3 linked regions of the Notamacropus eugenii genome follow. The protein of the gene in region 2 interacts with the protein of the main gene of each other region in a pairwise test. Links are inferred from orthologs where the notes say so. Each region holds a gene or a part of one and is shown on either strand. Other genes may lie near its edges.

What was found.
Region 1: the proteins of CBY2 (region 2) and CNNM3 interact in binary tests that used the Homo sapiens proteins (3 or more experiments, as listed by UniProt). The two-hybrid records come from large-scale screens. The link is inferred for Notamacropus eugenii from reciprocal best matches to the Homo sapiens genes CBY2 and CNNM3.
Region 3: the proteins of CBY2 (region 2) and METTL17 interact in binary tests that used the Homo sapiens proteins (3 or more experiments, as listed by UniProt). The link is inferred for Notamacropus eugenii from reciprocal best matches to the Homo sapiens genes CBY2 and METTL17.

The regions. Positions count from the first base shown.
Region 1 is NC_092872.1:523,501,882-523,512,343, reverse strand, and holds the start of CNNM3 (metal transporter CNNM3), read left to right. Parts: upstream 1-4,524; 5' UTR 4,525-4,551; coding exon 4,552-5,905; intron 5,906-10,462. UniProt on the Homo sapiens protein: Probable metal transporter.
Region 2 is NC_092877.1:296,275,553-296,286,014, forward strand, and holds the start of CBY2 (protein chibby homolog 2), read left to right. Parts: upstream 1-5,322; 5' UTR 5,323-5,337; coding exon 5,338-5,427; intron 5,428-10,462.
Region 3 is NC_092878.1:12,955,265-12,965,726, forward strand, and holds the start of METTL17 (ribosome assembly protein METTL17, mitochondrial), read right to left. Parts: upstream 6,587-10,462; 5' UTR 6,531-6,586; coding exon 6,450-6,530; intron 5,170-6,449; coding exon 5,016-5,169; intron 4,927-5,015; coding exon 4,795-4,926; intron 2,972-4,794; coding exon 2,890-2,971; intron 998-2,889; coding exon 916-997; intron 756-915; coding exon 682-755; intron 193-681; coding exon 98-192; intron 1-97. UniProt on the Homo sapiens protein: Mitochondrial ribosome (mitoribosome) assembly factor. Binds at the interface of the head and body domains of the mitochondrial small ribosomal subunit (mt-SSU), occluding the mRNA channel and preventing compaction of the head domain towards the body.

The sequences.
Region 1 (10,462 bases), on a different chromosome or scaffold from region 2:
ACAGATTATTTTAGTAATTGTCTTCCCAGTGACAGGACAGGTATTCTGGATCTGTTGGATAATTATGTATTAACATAATGTTTGGAAACAGAAATGTATTCAAGATGGAGAGGAGACCAATGATATACTGTCATTGGCATGGACTTGGAGTCAGAAGATCTGATTTTGAGTCCCCATTCTGGGCTTCAGTTTCCTCAGTTGTAAGATGAATGGGTTGTACTAGAACATTTCTGGGGCAGCTGGTAGTACAGTGGATAGAGTGCCAGGCTTGTAGTCAAGAAGACTAATTTTTCTGAGTTCAAATCTGGCCTCAGACACTAACTGTGTGACCCTGGGCAAGTCACTTAACTTTACTGTTTGCCTTAGTTTCCTCATCTATAAAATGAGCTGGAGAAGGAAATGGCAAACCACTCCAGTATCTTTGTCAAGAAAACCCCAAATAGGGTCATGATGAGTCAGGCACAACTGAAACGACTGAACAGCAATAGAAGATCTGTAGGGTCCTTTGCAGTTCTAACATTCCATCAAAGTCTTTTCAACAGTCTGGTCTTTTGGCATAGGAGTTTACAAAACGGAAGATGCTGACCCATGAAACTAAGTTCAAGGCAATATGGTTCTGGATTTGGAGCTAGAGGACCTGGGTTTTAACTGTGGTTCTGTCATCTACTCCACTTGGCCTTGGCTAAGTCATTTCCCTTCTTTGGTTCTCAGTTCCCTCACCTATAAAGTGTAGGGGCTTGACCTTCCAGCTCTAAATATGATTCCACGACCATATCTTTTTGAATAAGGAATTATGGTATAAGGAAAGAAGTTCATATTTGGTTTTGAGTTCTACTTTAGACAATTGTACAAGTTGTATATCCCCTGGCAAGTCACATAACTTCTTCTGGGCCTCAGTTTCCTCATCTATAAAATGAGGATAGTAATGCCTGTGGTGCCTTGAGCCTATAAATGTCCATTGTTATTAAGATACTATAAGAAGGGGTGGAGACTATAATTAAGGAAAACCAGAAGGACACAAATGGGCCACAGTCCAGGCCCGAGGGATTGGTTAATGTCTGGCTTAGTGCTGGGGTCATACAAAGAGACACATCTAGAAGCCAGTGTAAGGGGAAAAAGTTAGGAATGGACTGGGTACATTACCACCACTGAAAACCTGCTGGATTCTTTAAAGTCTTTGGATATATTTTAAATGTTTTCCAAGTTTGTTAATTCCTAGTAATATCAGATAATCTTAAATCAATGGATAAGTATTTATTAATAATAACTTAATTATTAACATTTATTAAGTACCTAATACTCTTTTATAGCTCCTCTTTTAAGGAGAAAATTACTTCTCTAACAATAAGAAACTGCTTCTGGGTCCACAGGGGCTGGTGTCCTTTGCCCATTCCCTTCTTCATTACGAGGTCCATGTACTATGGACATATGTACATGGTCTGGACCTGTTCAGTCCTGGTAGCCCACCCTCTAATGAGAGTGGAGCTATGCTCTCATTTCTCATTCTTCAGCTCAAATCTTAACCCTAGTAATCCAGTATGACTTAGCTTAGGTTTTGGCTCATAGCTGATGTTTCTCCAAAAAGGGGCAGTAGAAAGTTATTCAGTGTGTATCATGAATCAGAGATGCAGGTATGCCTACACACAAGACAAATAAAACACAAAAGATAGCTCACACTGACAGAGCAATTTAGAACAGTGTTTTGCAATAACTGCCATTAACAGTCTTCTGGGAGGCTGATACTTAAACCTCATCACAACATAAAATAGTTTGCAGGTCTGGCTTCATATTAGACACTTTACATTTCACAGGAGCTCTCAACTGTCCAAACAACTCCCAGTATAACATCTGGTAAAATGGAGCCAATGATGGTCTTGTCTTCTATGACAAAGAAAACCCCCTTGCAACCAGGCAGTTTCACTCAATAAACCCAGTCCTTTTGGACCTCTTGGTCTTAAAAGTTGACTCCAAGCCTTTATACCTCCACCTTAAGGTTGATAATTACCTGTTCAGAAAGGGAAACACAAATCAGCCATAGGTCCAGATGCAAGCTTTCTTAATAGAATCCATTCTTCTTGTGGGAGTAGGGGAAAGCACATATCCCATCTCCACACAACTCATTGGGAGTTAAGAGAGTGAGTGAGCTCATTACTTCCCCTGCAGGAGAGTCAAGGCAAGGAGAGCTGACAGGAAGCAGGTTCTTCTTTGAACTGATTCAGCATCCTATCTCCTTGCCATCATAAGATGGGAAGAAGGACTAAAGGTCCATTCAAGATTTTCCAGGAGTCCCTTCAGCACTGGCCCCAGACATCTCATTTGTTTGACCAGGATCAAGAAGTGTAACTGAGAATGTCCTGTAGTATGTACCCCGTTCCAGACATACAGAGCAGTGAGTAAAAATCCAGAATCTGTGTCTACTCACAATGGTCAGTCAGTTGTGGCAATTAAAGTTCTTTTTGGCCAGCAGAACTTTTCTATCTTCTCCAGTTTGGTCATATTTAAAAAAAAAAAAATTTTATATTTTAACAGTTAACAAACATTTCCCAACAAAACAATCAAGCAATTTTTTCTCCTCAAAATACATTCCTGTAAAAGTTATCCAGCTTGAGTTTCCCACTACACCCTCTCAGCCACCAAGGGTTTCTAATCTAATGGTTGTCCTGTCCAGAACACACACCTTAAGCTAGGAGTCCCCTAAATCCATCGACCATTTCAGCAGCATTACCAGAGCAGTTTCATCATTATTCACATTTATATGGCATTTTACTCTTATAAAACCTACTCTTCATAGCAATCCTAGGAGGGGGGTAGTGTTACAAACGAAGAAACGGAATTTCACAGAGGCTAAGGAACTTGCCTAGAGTCATACAGCTATTAAGTAGCTGAGCTGAGGAATCTCAACCCAGTTTTCCTGGATCCAAATCCAGGGTTCTGTCTTGTATTCCATGATTCCTAACTAATAATTGCCAAGCAACATAGAAAAAAATAAAATCAAATGATCTCTTGAGCTAGTGAACCTGACCTTGATTGTACTCTGTTGATTTTTCAGGATCTCTTCCTGGGATTGCTTCTCCCTGGGATTGAAGTTTAACACAAAACAAAATACAGGAATGCTTGCATGGTTTGAGGCAGAAGAGACCTAGGAGCCTGTCTGGTTCAATCTAATTTCACAAACAAGAAAACCAAAGACCAAAGAGGGCAAGCAGACTCTAAAAGGTAGAATGTAAGTTCCATGAGGACAAGCACTCAGGCATATAAAAAAAAAAATTTTTTTTTTTTTTGCATCCTCAGTGCCTTGCACCTAAGATAGTTAATACAGATTTATTGATTTGGAATTTAATTGGGAGGAAGAAGAATTTGAATCCTGCCTTATACTTATTAACTATGACACAGGGCAACAACGTCAGCCTTAGTTGGTTGGATTCAATGACCCCTAAGGTCCTTTCCAGCTATAAACCTATAACCTTATAGAACCCAGTAGTACTTCTCAATCAGTGTGTGCCTTTAGAAGTTGTTAAAGTTCTTTGAAGAGAGGACTTCGGGAGGTGTTGGGTTTCAGGTACCCAATAGTTGGTCAACTTGCTCCATGAGAACAAAAACCTGTTTTGCGGGGCTTTCCCAGTTCTAGGACCGCCACGGCTTGGCCTCTTGTGAGTCAATGGACAAAAATACTCCTAGTCGATGCTCAATTCAATAAACCTTCATCAAGTACCGGAGCAGATAATAACGACACAACAAAAAGCCTCTGTCCTCAAGGAGCTCACCCACCGATAAGTAAATATAACACATATACCAAAGGAATATAACTAGGGTTGGGATTGGTTGGTTGGGGCGAGGAGTGAGAACACTAATAACGGAATCAGGGGAGATCTCCAGCAGGAAGGTGGGCAGCTGCACGTTGCAGTGGATGGAGCGCCTGGCTTGAGCCAGAAAGACCAAGTTCAAATTTCTGAAATGGGCGGAAGAAGGAAACGGCAAAGCACTGCAGTATCGAAGTCGGACACGACTGAAACGGCTCACCAGCTGATAATTGGGGGAGTCAGGAAAGGTCGGTCTCCAATAGGTAGGGGCACTTGAAATTAAGCTTTGAGAGGACCTTAAGCAGTGATGAGAGAGAGAATTTTAGGCGTAAGTGATGGACAGCCTGTGCAAACGCGTGGAGATGGGAGATGTAATGCTGTGCTTCTGCATTAAAAAAAAACCAACTAAAATAAGGAGCCTAAAATGTAAAAACATTAAATTAAATTAACTCAATAGATTCAACTGGCACCTTTCCCCCGCCTCCCGCCCCCACTACCCAACCCAGTTCCCAAGGGGTCAGACGGAGCATGTCACCTCTTTAAAACCAAACTCCACCACGTGCCCCGCCCCCCTCAGGTCACCCGCCCCCATCTTGTTTACAACGCGGCGCAGCCTAGTACTACTCCTGACGCTCCGCCCCCCTCCGTTTCCTATTGGCCAGAGGGGCGCGGATGGGCGCGTTGACTGGCCGGAGGGAGGCGGGGACCCTGGAGTAGGTTGCGCGGGCGGCCTAGAGGGGGGTGGCTGGTGATGGCGGCGGCGGCGGCAGCAGCGGCGACAGGCGGCCTACGCTGGGTGCTCGCCGCGCTGTGCTTGGGCTGCGCCGCTGGGGGGGAAGCGTCAGGCCCGCGCGTGCTGGGCTTTTGCTTGGAAGAGGACGGAGACGGGGCCGAGGGTCCAGTGTGGGCCCGGGGCCGGGTGGTCCGGGCCGCGCCCGGGGCCGCCTTCCGCTTGCGGCTCTTCGGCTCCGGCTTCGCCAACCGCTCGTGGCCCTGGGTGGCCTTCGCTCCCGCGGGCGAGGGCTGCCCAGAGGGGGGAGGGGAGCCGGAGCAGGGGGGCGCGCACGGGGGCGCGGGCGCGCCCCTGAGCGTGAACCCCGAAGCCGTGCGGCCTCACTCGGCGCTGCTCGCGGTGCGCGTGGAGCCCGGCGGGCCCGCGGGGGGCGCGCGCTACCGCTTGTGCAGCCGCGGGGGGCCCCAGGGGAGCTGGACGCCCGCGGCCGAGGGGGACTCGCTGGCCGTGGAGGAGGAGCCCCTGCTGCCCTGGGCGCTGGGCCTGCTGGCGGCCGCGCTGCTGGGGCTGGCGGCGCTGGCCCGGGGGCTGCAGCTGAGCGCCCTGGCGCTGGAGCCGGCTGAAGTGCAGGTGCTGCGCGAGAGCGGCTCGGAGGCGGAGCGGGCGGCGGCGCGGCGCCTGGAGCCCCTGCGGCGCTGGGGCAGCTTCGCCCTGTGCGCCCTACTGCTGCTGGCCAGTCTGGCCCAGGCTGCGCTCGCCGTGCTCCTCTACCGTGCCGTGGGCCAAAGAGCTGTGCCCGCCGTGCTGGGCAGCGCGGGCCTCGTCTACCTGGTGGGCGAGGTGGCGCCCGCGGCCGTCAGCGGCCGATGGGGCCTGAGCCTGGCCCCGCGCGCGCTGGGGCTCACCCGCCTGGCCGTCCTGCTCACTTTCCCCGTGGCCTTGCCCGTGGGCAAGCTCTTGGAGCTGGCCCTGCGCCCGGAAGGCGGGCGGCTGCGGGAGCGCGTGGTGGATCTGGCCCGGGGCACTGACCCCTACAATGAGTTCGTGAGGGAGGAGTTCAGCAAGGGGGCCCTGCGGTGCAAAACGGTGGAGGACGTGCTCACCCCGCTCAAAGATTGTTTCATGCTGGACTCTTCGGCCGTCCTGGACTTCGGCGTCATGTCCACCATCATGCAGAGCGGCTACACCCGCATCCCCGTGTACGAGGAAGAGCGCTCCAACATCGTGGACATGCTCTATCTCAAGGACTTGGCCTTCGTGGACCCGGAGGACTGCACCCCGCTCAGCACCATCATCCGATTCTACAATCACCCCCTCCACTTCGTCTTCAACGACACCAAGCTGGATGCCGTCCTGGAGGAATTCAAACGAGGTAACTGGTGCTGCCGTTCGGAGCTGTGGCTTCCTCCTGTAGGGAGTTGGACTGGGATTTGAATGGGATACTTGGAAGAGTGGGGCGGGGCCGCTGATGTAGGGAGGATGTACCCTGGTCTCCGTGCACTTGAGTATCCATTGGATTTTGGATTGCGAAGCTGGTAGGGACCGCAGAAGTCATCTAGTTCCACCTCCCTCATTTACAAATGAGGAATCTGAATCACACAGCCCAGGTGGCCCAGCTGGAATTTGAACCCAAATCCTCCATCTCCAAACCTAGCTTTCCTCTTGTCCTGTAGCTGTCCTGCAACCTCGTTTCATTTGAAAAAAAAAAATTCAGTAAGACAATCTAGCCGAAGGCAGGGGTCAGGGCACAAGGATGTGCCATGTCAAGAGAAGTATTAAGAAGTCTGTATGGAAGCCCAGAGCTGGGGGAAGATCCTTGGCCAAGTCGCCTTTTCTGGGTCTCACGAGCACAGGAGCGTAGATTTTAAAGCCAGACCTTTGCGTCAAAAGAACTCATCGAAGACCTGAATCAGAAACTGAAGGGATCTAATGGTTTTAGAGCCCTGGATAGTCATAGATTTGGGAGCTTTAGAGAATCAAACCATTCCATCCTCTATTTTAGAGATAAGAAATCTGAGACCCAGAAAAGGTGAAGAGATTTACCCAAAGTGACAGTTAATGAGTGGCAGAGCTGGGATTTGAACTTGGGCCTCCGGATTCCAGATCCAGTGCTCATTGCTGGACATCCATCTTAATTTCAGTTCACTTTGTTAAATTATTGGTTGCTCGAGTATTTATATTATGTGTAGAATACCATTATTCTCCTTCCCCTTTCTTCTTTCTTCCCTGTTAGTCAGTTTAGGGAGTCTTGTTCTTTCTGAGATCTTTTGTAGAATTTCTGAGGATTTCTTAAACTATAGCTGGAAGCAGAACAAAGCTCGGAATTTGAATTTAAAGTTTTATCCACCCTTGTGGGGAGGGAGCCCATTTATCTGTTCATCTTTAAGTTGGCACTTTCAGTTTCTAGGGGAACCTTGGATACTGTTGAAGGCATATAATAATAACAATAGCAAAGACTTGTTATGTTTACAGAGCATTTAGATATGTTTTCTCATTGGTTCATCTCTACCACCCTGGGAGATTGGTACTGTTGTATTATCCCCTTTTTACTGGTGAGAAAACTGTCCCAGAGAAGTTAAGGGACTTGCCCTGGGTCACACAACTAGGTCAGGCCACTAAGTCTCTGAAGTTAGTGCAGCCCTCTGTGCCACATGGCTGCTTCTGCCACCTGTGCTGTCTGTTTACAGAGAATAAAGCAACAATACTTAAGGTTTTCTAAAGAATAAAGAACTTTTATTTTTCTTTATTTAAAACAATTTTACTGATGTCACTATAGCTTTTGTCTTTCTTCTTGTGTAGCACCTTCCCTTCCCTCCAGGTTACTGCCCCCATTTGCCTGTGCTTTTCTTTGAGAGTTGAGAATAAACTTGTCAGACTCCCTGGGAAATACAGGGTGCATGATTCCTTTTGTTTTCTCTTGCCTGTATACATTGTAGATTTTATCAGTAGGTCACTTCGGGGTTAAAAGGGTGAGACAACATAGTACATAGGGAAAGAGGCCCCTGGCTCTGGTGGCTGAGGACCTGAGTTCAAATTCCACCTGACATTACCTGAATTCCTTGGGCAACCATTTAACCTCTTTGGATCCAGTTTCTTCATCTGTGAAATGAGAGGGGTGGTGGATTATTTGACCTTTATGACCCCTTCCAACTCTAGATATATGATCCCAAGATCTGTTAACAGATTCGTTAGGGCTTCTGGCCATTTGGGGCTGTTATTCTTACTTAGAAAAAGTGACTGATACATGAGATCTAGGGTGGGAATGGAGCCTCAGGCCACTGGATGGGTTATGCCTTAAGGACTGCCTTAATATCAGACTATAAACCAGATAAACTGGGAGTGAGCAAAGACTTCAGGCTAAGAGAAATAAGAAAGGTGTTCTTGTCCTGATGTGTGCAGTAAAACTCTGATTTTCTGTATTGAGGCAAATGTATCCAATAATTACATTGCTCTTACTCATCAAGTAGCTTGATATTTCACTTTAAGACAGAAAAGTTTATAGTTCTTATGCCAGTACTGAGTCTGGTTTTCCCCAGTTTTTGTGGGGAGGTATTTTGTAGGAGAATTCTGATCAAACTGATGAGAACCATTGATTTGTTTCGAAAAATTCTTAATGCTTTGTTGCCTGGCAGACAAGTTGTGCTACTGAACAGGCTCTGGGGGAGCCTTTGAGGTAGATAGCCAAACAGCCTGCCTGCCTTGGAGCTTCATGCAGAATATGGTAGTTGGGGTGGAGCTTCTGCCATCCTGCTAAGGGCAGTTCCACTGGTATAATGGCAGAAGTGTTCTCTTGCTCATAAGCTCCATCCTTTTAGCTCTTAAATGTTTTATCTCTGGGATACATTCCTTCCCCTCAGATTACCTGTCACTGTACTATTTTTAAAAACCTGATTTAGCACTAATGATATGAAGAATTTTTCTTCCCTTATGTTTCCTGTCTCATTCAAAGGTTACACTGTCTTGGGGGTTTGGAGGGAGAGACCAGCTAATTTTAATCTATTTAACTGTAGTTAGTTAAGCCTCCATGTTGTAACCCAATGAACTCAGTTTGTGAAATAGTGGTGACTAGTTGTCTGCTGTGTAGTGCAGTGGGGTCCAGGAGCTAAAGTGTACAGGAGAATGATAGAACAGCTCTAGGGGAACCAGCCGCACCCTCAAAATTGAGGTATCTTTCATTGGGCTAGAGGACATTATTGTTTCCAATAGGGAGTTATAGCAAAATTGAGGATGAGGTGAATAGGATGATAAGGAGGTTGGAAGATTTTGTTAAGCCTATATGGCATTTCCTGCAGGTTCAGAGTTGGGATCATTTTTTATTTAATCAGGCTTTTATTAGGACTTTGATCTTTTGTTGTGGTGCCCCTTTTTAAATCTGCTACATTTTTTTTGCCTCAGCTGAAATCCTACTCCTATGCCTACTTGTGGTGAGAAGGTGACCATGAGTTCTCAAAGGCTATTCCAATGAAATGTAAGTCATGAAAGGGTCCTACCAAGCTGCTAAAGCTTTTGAGTATTTTGTCCTGTGGTGGACTCTGTTTTGTCTGAGCCAGTCACCAGAATGGCTGCAATGTGGTGAAATTTGACTAAAGGATGGTCGTCTCAGGTAGAAGAAATACTCACACTGCTGAGTTGAGTTATAAATCCTTAAAGCTTTGAAAGATGTGGGGGTTTTGCTTTTGTTTCATTTTGTTTTCATTTCTGGTTTGTTTGGGGTTTTTTTTAGTGATGTAATAAAGCACAAAAGAGGTAGTGTGGTGGCGTAGATGAATTGGCTCCTGAATTGAGAAGACCTGAGTTCAGATCCCACCTCTGACACAGACTGGTGTTGTGGCCCTAGTAGAGAGAATACCCACATTGATGAAGTTAAAGATCCTTAAACCTTTAGAAGATTTTTTTAAAAAGATTAAATAGAGCACTAGATATATACTTACTCTCTCAGTGCCCCAACCTGTAAGTTGCCTATAAATTGCAGAGCCGTTGCCAGTCTGTGCTAGTAAAGGGAATTCCTCCCTGGAAAGTTGCTCTACTAGAGAAATCACTGGTCAAGTTAAAAAAAAAAAAAGCCATCACAGCAGTTATTTGATTGTCAGTATTTGTTGTCTCAAATGTGTGGTTTTGATGGTGCAAAGGAGCCTTCCCCTTTTCAGTTTTTACTCGCACACAACCTTCTTATAGAGCCCAGTAAGCATTCTTGTAAAGGTGCCTGCCATTGCTTCAGTCTCTTTCCAAGTGGACCAGCTGCCGATATTCTGCCAGGCAGCAGATATTTTTCAAACTAAGAAAATTTTCCAAAGTCTTGTCTTGAGGAATTTAGGAACTCAGTGGGGCAGCTCTCCCCAAGGTACCAGCCAAGTTGCCCTCCTAAGCTTCTGGAGCAGCAGCTTCCTAGGGACCTGGGAGATGAGATTCTATAATGGCAACTGCAAAATGGAGAGACCTAAAAGTTTTAAAAGGGGGCTTCCTTTCCATGTTGGGAGGGATGTGTTTGTGTGTGTGTGTGTGTGTGTACACACGTGATTCTCAGATTCACCCCCTACTGAAGGGCTTCTCTTTATTTTTCTTGTTGATTTACATTGACATTCTCCTGCTGCAGCTTAGCAGCCTGATGCTGAAAGGCCATTTTAGGGAAGCTAATCTGTGTCTCCCAGTTGGTATCCTGTTTCTCTTCTCTACCACCCCTTCCATCCTACTCTTAGCCAGTATAATCCTCTTGATAGATGTCAATCTTCATTTTCACTCCCATCTCTCCTTTCCCCTCTTCCCCTTTTGTTTCATTTCATCTTAAACCTGTTTTTATAATGTTTTCGATCAGTGAGCATATTATATTGCTCTTGCAGCATTCACATGAGGTTTTAAAAAATAACCCGTTCTCTAGCTGACAACCATCTTGTAAGTTGGGAGCATTCCTAAAAGGAATATGCAGAAAAAT
Region 2 (10,462 bases):
GAGTATTTACTGGGGCTTCTGGCAATCTTTGGCAATCCTTCCATGGAGGGAGCCTAATCCTCTGACATGTTCCCACCTAATCATAAACAAGGTTGGATATTTTTGTGTGTGTCTTAATCCTTTCATCCCAGGCTGAGGGTGAAGTGTGGTGCCTCTGGAATGAATTGACATCTTGCCTTTTGCTTCAGTCATTCCTGTCTGTCTAGATTTATACCTGCTAGGCACATCTAGTTCAATGCTCAGTGTCAGGCCCTACAGAATTTAGCAGGGCTTGCTTACAGAAAATAGATGAGTGATGAGGATGTTAGTATGAAGATTAATAGGGGCTTTATTAGGTGTAAGACAAGAGCTGGGCATCTGAGTGCTGGGATATCTGATTCCCAGTAGGGAAAGTAACATAGGTGATGAATGATTAGATATGCCCATACTGAGGTTTGGATACCCCTCAAATGACTCAGTTTGCTTGTCTCTAAAAATAACCAAGAAGAATGAGCTCTGAATGAGCTGCAGGATCTAAGGCCAGCCCTAATAATATGTAAGACTCAATTTTCCCTGGATTTGATTTGACATCCGCCTAGCGAGCAAGGGAATTAGTCATATGAAAACCCCGGGAGTCTTATTTATCCTGATTGTGCTCTCTTTGTGGTTATGAGGCGGGAAGTCTTCCCCTAGGTCTTCCTGGAGTTGAGACGAGACAACTCCGCATCCTTTCTGGCTCTGAATTTCTGTGATTCTGTGATTAAGTAACCTAACAACTAAAGAGCTTAAATGGGATGGTTTGCTCCTCTTTCAGACTGATTAACTGAGGAGGGAGATGAAGGAATAAAAATCTGGAAAGCCTGGGGCTTTGTCACAAAGCCCAGTTGCCTAATAGTGTGATGAGGATGTTTGTTATACTCAAATTTTTTTTTCAATTTATTGTTTTGGATGTTAGACTTTTGTATTTTATCTTTCTCCTGGCTGAGTTAGATTTGGGATCCCTCCTGAGCTAACTACCCACAAACAACATGAATAAGATCCCCACATAATAAATAAGCTTTAGATGTATGAGATAGCCTTAAACTCACCTGGTCAGAGGGAGAAAATTGTCCTTTGTCAAGTGTGACTGGCAGCAGAGATGACCAAACCAGGGGGCCATTTGTTGGGGTTCATTATGTGTCATACTGCTCTGTTGAACTCTGTAAGACAAAGATGTCCTAGGATAATTTACTTGTCTGCCCATCACTAAACTGAAATGCCATATTTGAGTCTGTGTGACGCTGAGGAAAACAATGTGCCCTGAGAATGTGTGGTAATCTTTTGTGATGTCACCTCTAGAATGTCTTGAGTGCTTTGGAGACAAGCTTGTGCGAAGATCCTGCACCTTGAATTTCACTTTGGTATGATTTTATCTTTTATTTTGAAAAAAGAGGTTATTTGAAACATAAACATGTAGTTATCAAGATAGCTGCTCCAAAATATAACATAGGCATAGGGAACAAATAGGTCTAATGGCATTTTCCAAATCATGTACTCACAGAACCCTGGTGTTCTGACTAATGGGAACCAGTAGAGTGATTTAAGAAAATTTCAATGCTGAAATATGAAATATAAAATTAAGTATATTAAAAACATTCTATATAGTGAGTTAAAAATAATCTTATTCCCCTCTAACATCCAACTTTCCCCAAGCTCTGTCTTTTTTCCTGGGGGTGAGTGGGTATTCCATCTCCCCCCCCCATCTCCTGGATCAGCCTTTAAGGTTTGAATTCATGTAGTTCATGCCTCAAAGTGGTCCATGGTTGAATAATTTTAGGAAATGCTGTTCTAAACCATATATTTATTTGAAGCCATGGTCTAGAGGATGAGGTAGAGTGATGTTGCATGTTCTTTTGCACTCAGATTTCCTTCCTTTGGGCATAAATAATTGAGGGTGTATGGTAAGCAAAGAAGCAAAATAACTATTCTTTTTTTCTATGGGTAACTGAGGTTTGAGCGTGGATATGGAAGAAAAAGTATATCATACTTGTTCCACTGAGTATCTCTCTTGGCCAAATTAAAATTCAGAGGGGCATGTGGTATAGGGGGAGGTGCCAGATTTGAGAAGCTTTTTGGTTCCACCTATGATTGACATATCGAAGAAAAATACAGTATGTGATTTTTAGTTAAAGATAGGCTTATTTCTTTCCCAAAATTATTGTGTGTCATCATGAAAATAATGTCAAATATCATCAGAATATTGGGATTTCAGCCCTAGTTCTCTCTGCCACTACTTAGCTTTGTAACCTTGGGGAAGGAACTAAATCTTTTCTTTTCTGAGCTTCATCATCTGTAAAATGAGGTAGCTAGTTCAGATCCGTTGTCTTCAAAGTGAGGACATTAGAATGACCCCACGGGGGTTGTGACTTGGCCCTAATAGATGAATTGATTGATCATTTATCCATTGAGAAGATGGGTCCCATTCTTGTCTCCCCTCCCCACCAGCCAATGGTAGGTCTTGTCTCTAAGACAACTCAACCACTTCCTCTAACACTTCTGTGTAACTTTACTCACTCCCTTGCACATTGGTTATATGGAAATGTGTTGGTCCTTCATGACCCAACTTCTGATCTAGGCACCAGGCAGCATCTGTGTTGGCAAAACTCCATCATTCCTTACCCCTCACTAACTTCACCCAATATCCTCTGGATGGTGACTACTGCAGTCTTTGAGCTCCGGGGAAAAGTAACTATATGCCATCAACCTTGCACAAACTTTTCATTTTTCTTTGGGAAGGAGTGAGTAGCATAGAATGAACAGATACAGATGGATTAAAATGAAATTATCTTTTACTCCCAATGCACTCCTTTTTTGAACTTCCTTATTTCTGGGGAGGGTACCATAATGCTTTGTTACCCAGGTTCTCAACCTCCATCTTAACCTTAACTTCTTATTCAATTGAAACTGTTCTGTTCAAAGTTACCAGCAATCTTTTAATTGCAAGATCCAATGGTCTTTTCTCAATTCTCATCCTTCTCTGACCTCTGTGACTGTGTTTACCACCTCTCTCCTGGGTACTTATTCTTTCTTCTTTCCTAACACTGCTCTCTTGGTTCTCCTATCTCTCTGACCACTCCTTAATTTCCTTTACTTGTTTATATCACATCCCCCAACAGTAAGTATTACCTTTTCTTGATGTGGATGATGTGTGTGTGTGTGTATATGTGTGTGTGTGTGTGTATATCCAGTCATAATCTTTCTCCTGAATTCCAGTCTCACATCATAAGTGCTTATGATGTATATATATATAAATATATATGTTATATATATAAATATATATGTTTTATATATATGTATATATATATATATATATATACCATAGGCATTTCAAAGTCAACATATCCAAAAGGGAATTCATTACCTTTTCCCCTTCACGACCCTCCTCCCAACCCACCTGTTTTCTGAATTTTCCCATTTCTGTTGAGCACACAATTTTACCCATTAGTCACTCAGGCTCTCAACCCTGGTGTTATTGATTTATCCTCACTCTCTCTCACCCCATATGGAAGTCCCGCCATGTTTACCTCCCCAATGTCTCTTGTATTCTTCCTTTTCTGCCTACCCATACAACCATTACCTTAGTTCTACGCCTCATAGCCTCTCACCTAAACTAAAGTAATAGCTTCCTAATTTGATCTCTTTGCCTCAGGTCTATCCCCTCTTTAATAAATCCCTAACATAGCAACCAAAGTGACTTTTTCTTAAAGTGCAGGTCACTTCCTTATTCTTCATTAACTCCAGTGGCTTCCTATTGATTTTAGGATCAAATGTTATTTTATCTGTCTCATCCCCACCCCCACCCACCAGTCCCCTAAGATCACTTCCCTAGTTATATCCTGGCCTCTCACTCACCCACATATGAATCCATTGCCAAATCTTGTTTTTACCCTTGCAACAACATCTCATATATTCCTTTTTTCTCCCATTCATACAGCTATCACCCTATATTTAGGCTCTCATCAATTTGCCTGGATTATGGCAATAGGCTTCTAATTAGTCTCCTTGTCTGTAGTCACTTCTTAGCCCTACCCATCATCAGTTCATTTCCCAAAGTGTTTTTCCCAAAGCTTCTAGGTCAGCCTGTGTGTGTTTCCCCTTCTTCCCCTCATTAAACTCAACTGGCTCCCTATTATCTGTAGGATCAAATATAAAATCCTTTGACATTTAAAGCTCTTCATTACCTGGCTCCTTCCTCCATTTCTAGTCTTTTTACACTTAATTCATTCCCTGTTCTATGACCTAGCTATATTGATCTACTCAAACACAAATACTTCATCTCTAACTACTCCTTGTATTAGATGGTTGACCCTTATGCCTAGAGTGTTCTCACCTTCCTCACCTCTAAATCTTGACTTTTTCAAGGTTCAGGACAACTCCCACCTTCTGCAGGAGACCTTTCCTGGTCCTCTCAGTTGTATCTTCCCCTCGAAGATCATCTCATACTTACTCTGTGTATGACTTCTTTGTACACATATATGTACATGCTGCCTTCCACATAAGAATGTGAACTCCTTGGGAACAGGATTATTTTTGCTTTTATTTGTATCCCCAGTAAGTGATTAATAAATGCTTTCTGATGATCTGACTAGTGTATATAATTATCAGTATAGTAACTATCATGTAGTAGCATAATTTATAAATGGGTAACTATGGAGACATGCACAGAAATTTGTTTCTACGAAAACAAGAGTGCAATCAAAAAAAGTTTGGAAACTCCTGGACTGGATAATTTTTGTTTTAAAAATATATGTTTTATTGAACATTTTTAAAACATTACTGTTCTATCTTAATGACACCCCCTCATTATAAACCTCCCTTGTAACAAAGAAGTACAACTGAGTAAAAATCCATGCAACATCCCTCCGTAGAGAGCACAGCCTTATTTCTTTCCCAGAGTCCATCACTATTCTGCTGTTAGACAGGGTCATGTTTCATTGGCTATAAAGATGATCTTTCTTTATAGCCTCCTGCCAGCACTAAAATTTCTAATCATTCTATGAAATGGTCCACCATTTCAAAACACTTACCTAAGACTTGAGGGGAGGGGATCAAACTGGTGCTTAGTCTAAGTAATGTTAAAGGGACCATCATTTTGACCAGTCAAAACAACTGTCATTACCTCTATGCCTACTTACCAAAGATGAAGAAGATGGGGGTTACAAATTTTCTGGCATCAGCAGGGAGAACAAAGCCTATGGAGCTGGCCAGAGGTATGATAGTAGCTTTCAGTACCTGGTTTCCGATTTACCAAATCGCTTTTCATTTGGTTGCTAGTAGATGCTACCAGAGGTTTGGATTGTCTCCTGTTGCTATGTCACAATGGGGGCTGCCCTATTCATTGCCCTCCACCTTGTTTGCACACTTCAGTCACTCAGCCTGAAATGTGGAATGAAGGAGTCAAAAGTAAAGGTAAAGCCTAAAATGCTTCATATAGGAATGACCGGGGTGAAAACAGCTTATTAGTGATCAGAGAGCGATTTTGAAAGCTGACCCTCCCCAAAAGAGTTTTCAGAAGGAAAACAGAGAATGGGAGGAAAATGATTGAAATTCTTTCTCTTAGTAGAAGAAATTGTAACAACTTGGGGCGAGGGTGACCAGATGGATTGCACAAGATGCCAAGAGAGCATTGGCAATTCAGGACACTCTGATTCAAAATATATTTACAGCCTTACGTTGAACAGATCATTTTCTACCAATTTCATGCCATACTGATTAACTAGAATTAAATCTGTATCTCCTTATGAGAAGATGCTGCTTCTGGTGGTGGAATAATAACATAATGGTTGTATGAGTATGGGAAGGTTTATGTTTAGGACTTAAATACTGGTAGTTTTTTGGTTTGTTTTGTGTTGGCATGGTGGTGTGGGTGGACATAGAGGTGGCCAGCAGCTCCTGGAAGAATCTATTACTGTTGGTAGCTCTTTCTTTTGGGATTCTGTCTATCCGCCCCATTAGGTCTGTGCATTAATATTTTGAGAGGCAGCATGGTGTGATTAACAGAGAGACAGTCTCAGAGTCAGAAAGATGGATTCTAGTTCAGCTTCTGACACAAATCAATTGTGTGATCCTGGGTAAGTCATTTAACTTTCTAGTGTCCTCAGGAGATCAGCTTTCTGAAGTTGTTGATCTGCATTAGTAGAGAATGTTCCCTCAGGTCTGGTAAACCTCCCCTTGCCATACACACACACACACACACACACACACACACACACACACACACACACACACACACACATACACACCAAAAAACTTATGGACAAGTGATAAAAATACAAGATATGGAAAACCAGGAGAGGAAAGAAAGGGAAATGATGTGATTTAGAAGAATTTTTCCCTGAAAGATCTATCCTTGATGGTAGCTATGTCTGTGACTTGGCAGTCAATTCATAGAAAGTAAGGACCCAAGGCTGATGAAGGATATAGTAGATGGTTAGACAGACAGAAGAATAGGAGGTGGGCAGTGTGTTGGGGGAGGGAATATTTACCAAACTTGATTCTGTGCTTTGGAGGAGGGGAGTATTCATTCTTCCTCTGCACAATGGAGGGGTCTATGGAAGATTAGGCATGGGATGCATAGAATGCTTTCTGGTGATGTGTAATGAAGATGGATAACATCTTCCCAAGGGCTCATTGGCATTGGCTGAGGGTTAGTATCCTGGGGATTAGATATTCTGTTCCTGTGACATGTCTTTCAAGAAATTGGAGACAATCTGTCCTCTTGCTGTGTAAGGAATACTCCTAGAAAAGAGAGGTTACTCTTTTCCAAAGTGCTTTGAACTACTACTGTGTTGTATTAAGCAAAAAAATTGCCTGATGCATCAAACAAAGATAAGAGTAGAATTTCTGGCCCTGGTTTCATCAATAACTAGTTCTGTGGCTTTGGGCACATCAGGTCTTATCAGAGCCTTACAGCTCCCCATCTGTAAAATGAAAGAACTGGGCTAAATGAGGAGCTAGGAATTTTTTGAGGGGAGAGAAAGAACTTATTTTGTAAGATAAATAGAATATAGCTTTTTGAAGAACCACACTTTCTTGTGTACATACATCACAGAGTCATAGATTTAGAACTAGAAGAGATCCTTAGAGGTCATCTTATTCAACCAGATAAGAAACTCAGGCCCAGGGTTGGTGACTTGCCTAAGGTCACACAGGTTGCAGAGTCTAGGACTCAAACTCAGGTCCTAGTTTTTTTTTAACTGTCCCAGATATAGATCAGCTCAGATGACACTTCTTTTCTGATTCTCCTAGTCATTAGCATGTATCTTTGCCACCTAAAAGTATATTATATTTATTCATCTGTTCAAATATTGTTTACCCTTCCTTCTCCTCCCTCTCCTACCCCCAGTAAAAATGTCAGCTCCCTGAGGTATGGGGCTATTTTTACCTTTAATTTTTTTATTCCCAGCAATTCACACAGTTGACTTGTACATAGCTGACAATAAATGCTGATTTAATTGAATTATGTGTGTATATATATGTATATATATATATATATACATATATGTATACATATATATTTTTGTTGTTAGAGGTTTGGTACCAATCTCCTCTATGCTGTTTTACATATTGTCATTTTATTTAATTCATTCACAGTGCATTGGGAGGCAGCCTAGTATGATAAGAAAATAAAGACTTGGTCTTGAGATCTGTGTTCAGACTCATCTCTGACACATCTTGCCTGAATGGCTGTAGGCAAATCATTTAACACCTCAGTATCCCCAAGAAATTCTCTAAGAAGACCAAAAGTGCAGAGCAGGTATCTGTATCTTTATTGGTAAAGGGGCTTACTCCTACAGAGTTCTGGTGAAAACAAACCAACCCTATGAACAAGAGTTGTGTCCAACTCTTCATGATCTCATGGACCATATCACATCAGTGCTGTCCACGGGGTTTTCTTGGCAAATATACTGTTTTGATTTACCATTTCCTTTTCCAGTAGACTAAGGCAAACAGAGTTTAAGTGACTTGCCCAAGGTCATCACACAACTAGTAAATGTCTGAGGCCAGATCTGAATGCAGGTGTTTCTGATTCCAGGCCCAAGGCTCTATCCACTGGGTCATTAGCTGGCTTCTACGTAAACAGTGGTTAAGTGATGTCAAGGTCACATAGCTAGTAAATACTGAAGTTGGATTCGAACTCGGGTCTTCCTTACTGCAGATCCAGTGTTCTATCCACTGAGCCACCTAGCTGCCTCACATACATAATGCCAAATAATGACTATTAGTGTACTTTAATGATGTCAACTAAAACACAGATATAGGCTCATTTACTTTATCTGTACATCGAAAACCCACTGCCCCCCAACCCCAACTTTAAGGTCTCTTCTTTCTGTCTGGTTGTAATTCCACAACTAAAATAATCTTTTCTCTTTCCTAGTCACTCTTACTCTGCTCCAGAGTGCTTCCAAGATGTCAGGAAGCCAGTATATCAGGGTGGAAAAAACTCCAGCTTTCAAGTATGAGGATCAGAGTTCAAATCCTCTCTCTGCTTTTATTGCCTTTTTGGCCTCAGACAAATTAATAATTTGCCTGAATCTCAATTTTTTCACCTGGGAAATGCAGGGGCTAGACAAAATGGCCTCCGAGGTCCTGTCCAACTTTAGATCTATGGTCTGCCTAGGGAGCTTTAGGAGGGTAGGAGTGTCCACTATTTTGTCAACAGGATTTACAGTGCTCCATTTCACTATACAAGCGCCTCTGGGTCTCCAGCCCATCAGATCTTTTCTTTCTCCTCTATTACATTGCAAATTCACACAGTTTGCTATTTGTTATCACCTCTAGGTCTATTCAGGCTTTATTGATTTCCACTTTTTCTTTCTCACATTAAATATTTGTGTTCCTGATTTATTTCCCCCCAGTGCATTGACTTGCAGTGTTTTTTTCCAAGCTGTCATTGTTATTTCTTGCCTGGAAGCCTGACCTGTGAGTTCCCTTTGTAGACAGCAGTTTCAGTTCTCCCTGGTATTTGCAACATTTCCCAGTTGGAGGAGGCTCTGAGAATTTCATTAAGGTATTGTTTACTCCTAGATCCTTAATGAAGATTCTAAATAAAATTGGAATGAACACAACAGATTCTCCCCTCCTAGGCTGCTTCCTGACACATTTTCATTTCTCATTACCCTTTGTTTGTGTCTGTCCTTCAGACACGTGGAGCCCCCTGACAGTACTCATATCTGTGCCAATTTAAATAAATGTTTGGAGTAAGATTTCAAGAGATTCTGTGTCAAATGCTTAACTAAAAGTACGATATATGACATCTCCTTTATCCTCTGTCTGCTTCTGTTGTAACTATGAAAAAACACACCCTGCAATCAAATTTGTCTTCCTGGGATTTATGAGCACATGCTGTTTATTGCCGATTATCCTTCACATGGCAGCAAATTTTTTCTTCTGCTAATGTATAGACTTGGTTGTTGCACCTGGAGCCAAGTTACATTTAAAGATCTATGTTAAGGGAGGATCTCTAACTCCCTCACTCTCTCTCTGTCTCTGTCTCTGTCTCTCTCTGTGTGTGTCTCTCTCACTTTCACTCTCTCTCTCCCTCACTCACTCTCTCTGTATCTGTCTCTGTCTCTCCCTATCCAGAGTGAAAACTGGTACCATCTTTGGTTTTTCCTTTGGAGTTTTCCATCTTTCTAGTTCTGCAATTCAATTTTATTCAGTTTAATGGATATGTATTAAGCATGTGTGGTATGATTTGAACTGAGAATGAAAAGATGAAAAACTATTTGTGGTCTCTGCCCTCAAAGGGTTTACATCTAATGGGGAATGCAACATCTCCCCATTACATAAATATAGAATCTCAGATGTGGAAGGGAACCTCAGGGGTCATCTAGTCCAAAGTGTTTTTTTCTTTTAATTGGGATCTGTAATTTCCTTGTATGGTAACTCCCAATGAAGTAACTCTCTAACAAAGCAGATAAGCAACTTTTAAAATTTAGCCTAAAAAAGTTTAAACCATGCTTGAATAAAATCCCCTCTATAACCTCTCTAAAAATGGTCAGTCAGCTAATCTCTACAAGCTTTTGAAGACTTCCATTGAGGAGGAGCTAGCTCAAGAAGACCTGTGTTCAAATCTGTCCTCAAACACTTACTTAACTTGTGTGACCCTGTGCAAATTATTTTAACCCTATTTTACCTCAGTTTCCTTATCTGTAAAATGAGCTGGAGAAGGAAATGGCAAAAAGCTCCAGTATTTTTGCCAAAAAGCCACAAATAGGGTTGTGGAACAGCAAGGACCTTGGCATACACAGGAGGGCCTGCTGTACAGGTTCTTAGTTCTGCTTTTCTAAAAGGAAAGCAACTTTTGAGGGGCCAACTTTAATCAAGCACATGTATCATTCACTTAGTTCAGGGGAAAAAGTCAGCACCCTGAACTTTAGGGAAAATACAAACAGAAACTGCAAGCAGAAATTATACAGAAGGACCAACAGATAGGGCTTCC
Region 3 (10,462 bases), on a different chromosome or scaffold from region 2:
CTAACTCTCCTTCTCCACTCTATTACAACCTCCTCTACCTAATCCTTCACTTTTTTTCATTTGTAGATCTTTTCAACAACCACTGCCTTACCCTCACCTTTCAGAAGCCTTTCTGCCAAGGCCAACATGGAAGCTGAGCTGTCCACACACAAATATTCACGAAGGCTCTGGCCCCAGGTATTATAAGCAGCCCTGTGAAGATAGGAGCACAGCCTAAAAGATCTAAGAGAGAGAGAGTTCTTAAACAGAGTGCTGTTAATAGATACTCTTCTAAGTACACTAGTAAGCTATGTCAGATAAAGGTTCAAAATGAATGGGGTCATTTCTATTAATTTCTCTGCACCTTCTGGATGGAGAATGGAAGGCAATAGACTCAGAAAAAATGTCCGCACACCAGAAACTGACATACAGGACCTTACCTTTGATATTACATTCTTTCCTCCCTTTTCTGAGAATAGCCTTAACAAACTACGGCCCATTCCCCATGCTTCTAAGACTCCTTTCCACGCTTTGTTTCCTAAGTTCCTACCTAGAAAATAGAGCAAAATATGCATGACACCAGTGTGTCATCCTTAACTTCACTATTCTCTAGAATCTACTCGTTTCTTGGCTTTGGAATGGTACAGGCAGGGTTTTCTTAGGCTGGAAACAACGAGGCTCATGCCAACTTGAGTCACTCACCAAGTAACAGAACCGGTGCCTGAGCCAAAATCCATTAAAGTTTGTGGCTTAAAGTCTGGAACACGAGCTTGGATCTGAAGAAACAGAAAGTGACATCCAACATGCCAGGAATGACTTGAGACCTTGCTTGAGATTACTCAGAGTGTAAGACTAGGAGAGAGGTCAGATGTGAAGTCTTTGGAAATTTGTGGATACCTCAGGAACCCTTCTGTAATAGAAGCTAAGGGGCTTTACCTCATGGAAAGCTCTGGAAACAGCTGCGAAGCCACCATCTAGTCGTGCTGCCATGTATACCAGGCTCAGCCTTTCATCATAGCTGCCAAAGAAACCAGGTATATGTAATTATCTGTCAAGTTCTATAGATTTCTAGCCTCACAGTATCTCTTGCCTCCATCTGATGATAATTCCTATAGGGTCTATTCCTAGGTCATAACTTTGCTGTGGCTCACTTGGATTACTGCCAAAGCCCCTAACTTACCCCCTTAACCCCCATTCTATTTCGTTCATCTTAGCGCTTCCAGATTCATTTTTCTAAAGCAGAGCTTACATTATGGCACCTCATGCTCAAAAACCTTCAACAACTGCCCACTGCTATCTGTGCAGGAGTGCACTAGATCTGGTGTAAAGAGGACCTTCATTCAAATTCAATTTCAGACGCTCGCCAGCTGTGTGGCTCTAGGCAAATCACTTAACCTCTTTAATTCTCAAGTTCCTCTGCCATAAAAGAGGATAAAAATAACAGCCACCTCACAGGATTCTTGTGAAGAATGAATGAGAGAGCACAGATGGATCAGTGTGCAAATCTTAAAGCAATGTAAATGTTCGCTGTTACTGTTAGCATTAAATTCTCTAGTTTGTCATTCAAAGCCCTCGAGGATCTGTTTCCAATTTACACATCCAAGACAATATCACATTTTACCTCTCAGGTCCTCTAGCTGGGTAGATTCACTGAACTCAGAAGATGTCTTTGATTTCTTACCTTTATGCCACATTATAAATGTCTTACACTTAGAAGAGTGTCCCTCCCATTGCAGAATGTTGAAATCCTGCCCCTTCAAGGTCCAGCTCAAATGCTTACTGTTCCACCAGGTTTTCTTTGATCTGCCCAGTTTGTAGTTATTTCTGCTTTGTCTGAAGTCAATATATTTGTACTTTTCTAGTGTTTTCAGCATATTCACATTTTTATTATAGCTACTTATGCAGAAATCTTAGAATTCCTAGAAATATCTCTATTAACTGAACTGAATTTACCTTTGAACCTCCCCACAGGTACAGCATATAATAGTTTTAATAACTGTTTGCTGCATGAGTAAAGGAATGGACCTCCACAACCCAGAACCACTTCTGTTAAGATGGGAAATGGGACAGGCCACAGAAAAAGGCCCTTCATACCTCTGACTTTTCAAAATCAGAGTGAAATATGAAATATTTTTGAGAGCATAAATTTCAGTTCTAAACAGGGATAATTTAAAATTTATATCTGACAACCTGATACAGCAACTAAGAGGATTTTCCATTCCTTTCCTTTCCCCCCTCTCCCCTGCAAGTCCTGAAGGATCCTTTTTCCCTGTCCATTTGTATTTTTTCAGTTAGTAAGCTTTCAAAATTAATTTGTTTCTTCTACTACCCCCAACGGAGCAAACTATAAAACAAAAATAACATATCTCTAAATACACACCTGCACACTTCAGCAAAACAAACCCCTACACTAGCCACACCCAAGACGCGCACCTCTTCATTTTAGTTTGTTAGCTCTCTGTCAAGAGGCTAAAAGGCATTTCATTATCTTCTTGAACTGACTGTTTTCACTGATAAGGAGATCTAAAATCTTTCAAATTCTTTTCTCTATACTTTTATTACTGCATAAATTGTTTTGTTGGCTCTGCATCAAAACGTAAACGTCTTCTCAGTTCCCTCTGAATTTATCCATTTCATAATTTTTTTAAACATTTAAAAAATTATTCATTTAAAAATTTTTTAGACATTAAAGTTCTTTTTTGATTCCAGATTCCTCCCTAGCCTCTAGGCCTTCCCTTACTCTCTGGGAAGGCTGGCAATGATACTTGTCCTTTCTTTTCTCAGTTTATCAGGAGATCTCCCTGGGCCCGGATACCCCTATCTCCTTCCCTGGGGTAAAGCTGCCTTTCTTTTGGATCTTCATGACAAACTCTTCCCTCCAAACCCACTGCCTTGGGGTAGTTTCCTTACCTCAGTTTTTGCCAATGGTAGACAGATTTGCGAAGGGCACTCAACACAGCTCCACGAAGTTGCTTCTCTGACTGTAATGATCCTGAGAGGAGAAAGCAAAGACTGGACTTGAGGAACCAGCAAGGTGAAACCCAGCACTTAGTATGGGAATACCCTTAGCTCCTGTTTTTTCCAGCAGGGACATAAAACCCAGGAGGCTTCGAGTCTAAATCTACAGAAAAATATTACAAAAAATGAAAGACATGTTCTGTGCCATCAGAACAATGGTTTAGGCAAAGCATTATTCTTTCTCTGATAGTTCATTTTCCCTAGCTGCCCCTTGTGACATCCACCATTAATTCAGTTTTGCTTCTGGGTAAATGTGATGAGTACTGGGGACTGGGAAGACAGGATGATGGAAACTGCTTTGGTTAGGAACTTATTCATTCTTCTGCAACATGTCTTTTCAGCCCTGGGTCTGTGGAGTCTAGTGCAGTCTGCAAAGTTACTTACAAGTAGCCTCAGAAATAGCTACACATAGTCTCAAACAAACTAGAGGGATGACAATTTATTTAGCTATGTTAAATAGCTAAAATTTATTTAGCTATTTAGAGAATAGTTAAATAAATAATGAGCTGCTAGGTGGTGCAGCGGATAAAGTGCCAGGCCTGAAGTCAGGAAGACTCATCTTCCTGAGTTCAAGTCTGGTCTCAGACGCTCTACTAGTTGTGTGAACTTGGGCAAGTCACTTAACCCAATTTGTCTCAGTTCCTTATCTGTAAAATAAGCTGGAGAAAGAAATGGTAAACCACTCTAGTATCTTTGTCAAGAAAATCCTAAATGAGGTCACAAGGGTCAGACATGGTTAACAACAGCAATAAACAAAGTATAGCATATGAATGTAATGGAATATTATTGTGCTGTAAGAAATAACCAAATGGACAGTTTTAGAGGAAACTGGGAAAAGCTCTACGAATTGATGCAGAGTAATGTGGGCAAAACTAGAAAGATTTATATGACAAGAACACTGTATAGAAAAATAACTCTGAAAGACTTTAGAGTTCTGACAAAATGATAAACTGTGAGTCCAAAGAAGAAGAGATGAAACATATCACTTATCTCCTGCCAGAACTGATGGACTTAAAACGTAAATGAGATGTACATTTTTGGCTTTGGTCAATGTGGGAATCTGTTTTGCTGGACTCTGCATGGCCATCATGAGGATTTAAAAAAAAAAACTCCATAATGGAGTGTGAGGTATGGGAGAGCTAACGCTCACAAAATCAACTCATTAATTAATTAAAAGAAATAGCTGTTCATCAACACTGAGGCAAGTAACAATGTGTGGCAGATCATAACTCAAGTCTGAAATCACTGATACTTCTTTCTGCATTTGTCCTGAAGGAAAGTGTGCTGGGAAATCAAGAATGTCATAACTGTGCGAAAACACTACTGGAAGCTAGTTCAAATCTAGGTTAAGTCATGGGTGTGACAGAGGAATGTGTGTGGGTGGGATTTCATTCTTCAGTACAACCTGGGAAGGTTCAACACATTTCCTGATCATTCCTGATCCAGATCATTCTAAAGGAAGAGAGAAAGGTCTGGATATCCAGGCATCCCCTGGTATGTGATGTACAACAGAATCAAAGATGTATGATACTAGTATAGTAATGTGTTTATCAATTACCAAGTGTTCTGCACATATATTTCTCATTAGGTCTTCAGACTGAATACTTGTAATAAGTCATATGGGTATTAAATAATTCCCATTTTACAGATACATCTAACTTCTGGCTGTAAAGCGTTATTTATGACTGATTTCACCAAAGACATATTGGAAGATTAAATATCTGTCTGTAAAGTTGAATCTTTGCTCTCTGAATCAGTCCAACCTGGCTTCTTCCTTCGGCTCATCTAAGCCTTTACCTGTATCCTGGAGTTTATTTTCCAGCTCTACTGCTTTTCTGCGCAGCTCCTCAGGTTCCATAGGAAGCTTCCGACTCCAGAGGTAGTTGGTGAGTGTCTGAACTTGCTTCTCTATGTTGGGCAGAGAGCTTTCTGTGGGTCAGACATGAAAAGGGGCTATCAGTGAAATGAAAATTCCTTTCTTTTCTCTGCTTATTTTCTTGATCAAGAGAGTTGCTCACCCTGCAAGAGCCTCTGGGCTGCAGTGACCAGGGCTTGTGGCAGCTGCACTTGGGACAAATGGAGGACCCCTGGATGTTTGCGGTGGGCTCTCTTCCCCAGGAAATCCAATATATCATTCTCCTGGGACACTCTGGGACCAAGGTCGGCAAGCGTCTGAGGTCCAGAAAGAGGAAAACCGAATGAGGTTAAGTTGGCGAAGGAGGAAATCTGGGTAATAACAGCTCACTTTTTATGATACTTTAGGATTTTGAGGAATGTTTTATGTGCATTATTTCATTTGACAAAAGCTCGGCACAGCACAGACTGAGACTTCTTAAACTGCTAGTCCAGAGGCACGTTCTGGAGGATGGCAGCATGGCAAGGTAGAAGGGATCCCACACCTGTCCTTTATTACCTACAAACTCTTTGTAAAGCCAGTGGTTTGAGGTAGATATCCTCTAAGACCTCCTTCTAAATCTGCTTCAGGACAGGCATCTCCTCCAGGGATGGGGGGTTCTCTTGGCTTGGGGAGTGGGGTTGTCCCCCCAAAGGCTGGCACCTCAAACGTGAAGCCAGTGGCTTGAGGTAGATATCCTCTAAGACCTCCTTCTAAATCTGCTTCAGGACAGGCGTCTCCTCCAGGGATGGGGGGTTGTCTTGGCTTGGGGAGTGGGGTTGTCCCCCCAAAGGCTGGCACCTCAAACGTGAAGCCAGTGGCTTGAGGTAGATATCCTCTAAGACCTCCTTCTAAATCTGCTTCAGGACAGATGTCTCCTCCAGGGATGGGGGGTTCTCTTGGCTTGGGGAGTGGGGTTGTCCCCCCAAAGGCTGGCACCTCAAACGTGAAGCCAGTGGCTTGAGGTAGATATCCTCTAAGACCTCCTTCTAAATCTGCTTCAGGACAGACGTCTCCTCCAGGGATGGGGGGTTCTCTTGGGTTGGGGAGTGGGGTTCTCCCCCCAAAGGTTGATGCACAGCTGCCCAAGGATTCGGCCCACCCCACATGCTCAACAAGTGACTGCCCTGGGTCCGAGAAGGCCTCGCTGTGGGTGAGAACGCCTGGAATGAGCAGGGCTGATGGATTCTGACTGGGGGCTGCTTCTCTGGGCCCAGGAAGCCCGGACAGCCTGGATCAGACTGGGTGCAGCCGCAGGCTCTGGCCTCGTTCGGCCCCTCTGGCCTCGTACACGTGGAGAACGCATCTACATATATTTGCATATTTGATTCCCAGACTCCCACTCTCCTTTCTCTCTCCCCGCCCTCCCCCCCGCTTTCATCTTCCCTTTTTCTTTTCTATCCCATCCTCTGCCTCGCTCTTCCTGTCTCCGTCCCTCTAGGACTGTGTCGTGTGCGATCACAGACACGCGTGGGGATGGGGCGGGTGGGCTCCCCCTCAAAGGCCTTCCCGACGCGACCGAGCAAGGCTGTTTTCAGGAGCGGACCAAAGTTCTCACCCGGAACAACGGGGTTCCCGCCGGCGAGCAGCTCCACCTTCCCACCCACGGCAGCGGCCTCAGCCTTCTGGTGGCCGCCATGACTCCTGAGGCGAACCGGAAGCGGAATTGGAGACGCCCGTGACCCTCCGGGGTTACCTAACTCTTCCACATCCTCCAGAAGAGCTGGACACGTCATCAACCAATCGGGACAGGACGATGATTTCTAGGGGCCAATCGGCGGTCTCTATGTAAATTTATGGTGACGCAAGAATGTTTTCCCTGGTGAGAAGATGGACACGTGTCAGATTTAGCCAATGGGAAGAAAGCGCAGCGTGCGCGAGGGTCTCAGGGGGAGGCAGTCTTTGGCCCTGTGTCAGTTTCTTGCAGGAGTGTTTTTTTTTTTTTTTTAAAACCTCTGCGGTTACAGTATTGGTTTGTTCGTTACATTCAGGATGACGTCATCCAGCATCTCTTCTGAAGTTTTACATGAACAGATTGTATAACAAAACGGTACTCCCTTGCAAATGCTGTAGAATCACCAGAATGCTGTTTTAAAACAGTGGCCCCTGAGTCATCCTGTCCAAACCAAAAATGATTGCCTAATTAGCAAGAAAGCACGTGGTTAGTTTTAATTAGTACAAGTTAATTTGGTTTGGTTTGGGAAGGGAAAAATATTTGATAAAACTAGGTGGTCTTGTAAACATTTTACCTTTAAGACCAAATTTTAAGTGTATTTATCACAACTGAAATATAAAAAACCCTACTAGGAAAAACATTTCTCTTTAAAAAAGACTGCATATACTTTTGTTTAGAACTGGCTTTTAAATAAAATCTGGAAATCTGGATTTACATAGTTAGAAATGGTCCCAAATAGAAATTTCATGTTTCCCAAAGACTGGTCTTCATCCTATATATAAGTCTACTTAGTTTAGTATGTCCAGTGCCAAAGATTAATGTGTTAGTCTTATTTTTCAGTTCACGTTTTTGAGGCACGTTCTGAGCTGTTTTGAAACGTGAGGATTTATAAACATAACTTCAGTTACATAGTAATAAAGTTATAAATGTATAAAATCCCCACATAAAGATTAGAAAATGCACCCTTCTGTTGGTCTTTCAAGGATGGAATTTTAGTATGTTTTACTCAAATAATTCCATGCTGCAAATTTATTTCTTTTATTTTTCCACTTGGCCAATATTGTAATTGGATAGAATACTTCATCATTGTCAAATCTGGGTTTATTAACTTTTGCTTTCCAACTGAGAAAAAACATTGTTTCTATAAAACTTTTATTACTGTATCATGAGTATGCAGATCAAAGCTTTTTAATTGGCTAACTATATGAAAAGATGACCCAAGTGGATATACAGAAGCAAAGATGAGCTTCCCCTTAAAAAGAAAAAAAAAATTTTCAAGAGCACCTATGAAAAAAATGATACTAATTAAAAATATCCAGTGTGACAACAAAGAGTCTCTCAGAGGCTGTTTTTTAGAGGAAAGGTGAAGTCAGCATCTAGTTGTTAATTGGAAAAAAAGAGTAATAATAAAGAATTGAATTTGTAAAGTCTTCTCATATGCACTTATCACCTTTGAGTGTTGCAGGAATTGTGAGATAGGATGAGTCACACTTATTTTGAAAAGAGGAATCTTGAGTATAGGTAAAGTTAAGTAACTTGCCCAAGGGTTTCTTCTCTGAGGTAGGTGTTAACTTCATAGTTTAGCACTCAGTGATTTCAAATCCTCCCCTTCCTCATTTTTCTCATTGCAAAGGAGGGAGAATGCAGTTCCAGGGAGAGTTAGGAAAAAAATGGCATGTGATTGAAGGACATAGAGGAGTGTACTGAACTAAAGTGTAGGCATTGTAACTGTTAAGTAGGGATTTTAATGGAAGGCACCAACCATCCTGCTTGCAATGAAAAGTGCACCATAGGACTTTGGACTTTATTACTACCGGGACATCCTTTTGTTAGTCACTTCCATTACTGATTCAGTTTCCTCATCTGTAAAATGATGAGATTGAAAAAAATGATCTGTGAAGACCCTCTGCTTTCTTGTTTCTTGCTTCTGTTAGTGAACAAGCATGTATTAAGTGCCCAATATGTGCTAAAGACTGGGGATACAAAGGCAAAAATGGTTCCTACTCAAGGAGCTGGGGAGACAACATGTAAACCACTATGTGCCAAAAGAAGATATAAACAGAATAAATTGGAGATGATCAACAGGGGTGAAGCACTAAGGTATTAAGAGGAATTGGAAAAGCCTTCTCATAGAAGGTGGAATTTTAGCTGGAACTTGAAGGAAGTCACAGGACAGAGATGTAGAGAAGAGTATTCCACGCTTGGGGGACAACCCATGAAAATGCCTGGAGTCAGGAGACAGACTGTCTTGTGAGAAGAACATCATGGAAGGCAGTCTCACTGGATTGAGGAGTACCTGGAGGGGAGTAAGGAATAAAGAGATTGGAAAAATAGGAAAGGTCTAGGTTATGAAGGGTTTTGAAAGTCAAATAGATGATTTTATACTTGATCCTGGACAGGATAGGGAGTCAGTTTATTGAAAGAGAGAGAATGGCATGGTCATACCTGTGTTTTAGGAAGATCAATTGGATAGCTGAGTGGAGAATGGACTGGAGTGGGGAGAGACTTAAAGCAGGGAGATCATGCAGTAGGCTATGTCAATAGTCCAAGAGGGAAGTGTTAAATGCCTGTATCAAGATGGTGGCAGTGTTGGAGGACAGAAGGGGGATATATGAAAGGTGTTATGAAGGTAGAATTGACAATATTTGGCAAACAGATTAAGTATGGAGGGTTCCCTAGGATTGTGAGTGTGAATAACTGGAAGGATAGTATTATCCTTGGAGATGCAAGACTGCAGGTTAGGAGAGAGATTAGGGCTGGATAAGTAGATCTGGGAATCATCAATACAGAGATGATAATTGAATCCATGGGAGCTGATGAGATCACCAAATGAAAGTGTATAGAGTGAAAACAGAAAAGAGCCAAGGATAGAGCCTTAGGGGATACCCCTGGTTAGTGTATATAACATGGAATGAAGATCCAGCAAATGAGGTTGAAAAATAATGGTCAGGTGAGTAGGAGAACCATAAGATCACCAAGTTAGCAATATCAAGAAAAACTAGAGAGCAGAGGGTATCAAGGAGAAAAAGGGGATGGGCAGCGTCAAAGGTTGCAGAGGACTCAAGAAGGATGAAGATTGCCACCCTAGTTCTCATACTGATCTGGTACTAAGAAGAGTGGTATGGGATCTTTTCCCCACCAACATCATAGCTGGGGCAAATGAAGCAGAGAAAAAGGGCTGAGGATGGGGTAGCTATAAGATGGGCAGCTAGGTGATGCATTGAATAGAGTGCTAGGTCTGGAGTCATGAAGAGCTGAGTTCAAATCCATCCTCAGACCCTTCCTAGCTGTGTGACCTTAGGCAAGTCACTTCACCTTGTTTGCCTCAGTTTCCTCATCTATGAAATGAGCTGGAGAAGGAAATGGAAAACCACTCCAGTATCTTTGCCAAGAAAACCCCAAATGGAACCATGAGGAGTTGGATATGACTGAAACAACTGAGCAACAAAGGGAGAAAAGTCTTTGCCTAGAATAATGCAATATCTCCACGGGAAATTTTAGACCTAAATCCATGTGCCCCTGGCTCCCAGCCTGGGGCATTGTCTATTTCACTGCTCTGAGAAAAATACCCTTCTTACTTGGTCATGGATCAAAGACATACCAAGTGTATATTTAACACTAAGCACTGCACACAGTGCATAGTACGTAGTAAATGTTCAATAAATATTTATTGATGATGATGATAAAATGAGGTCTCCAAGTCTCAGGGGGTGACCTCTACATCTCTTTGCATGGAGAAGTCCGGATAGGGACTGATCAGATCCACACTCCCCTGGAAGCGGCATAACATAAACCCTCATAACATTTTACCTGCAGAAACAATTCATACTCTAGTAATTCTCCAATATTTATGCACCCATATTCTATACTATAATTAATCTTCTGAGGATCCATAT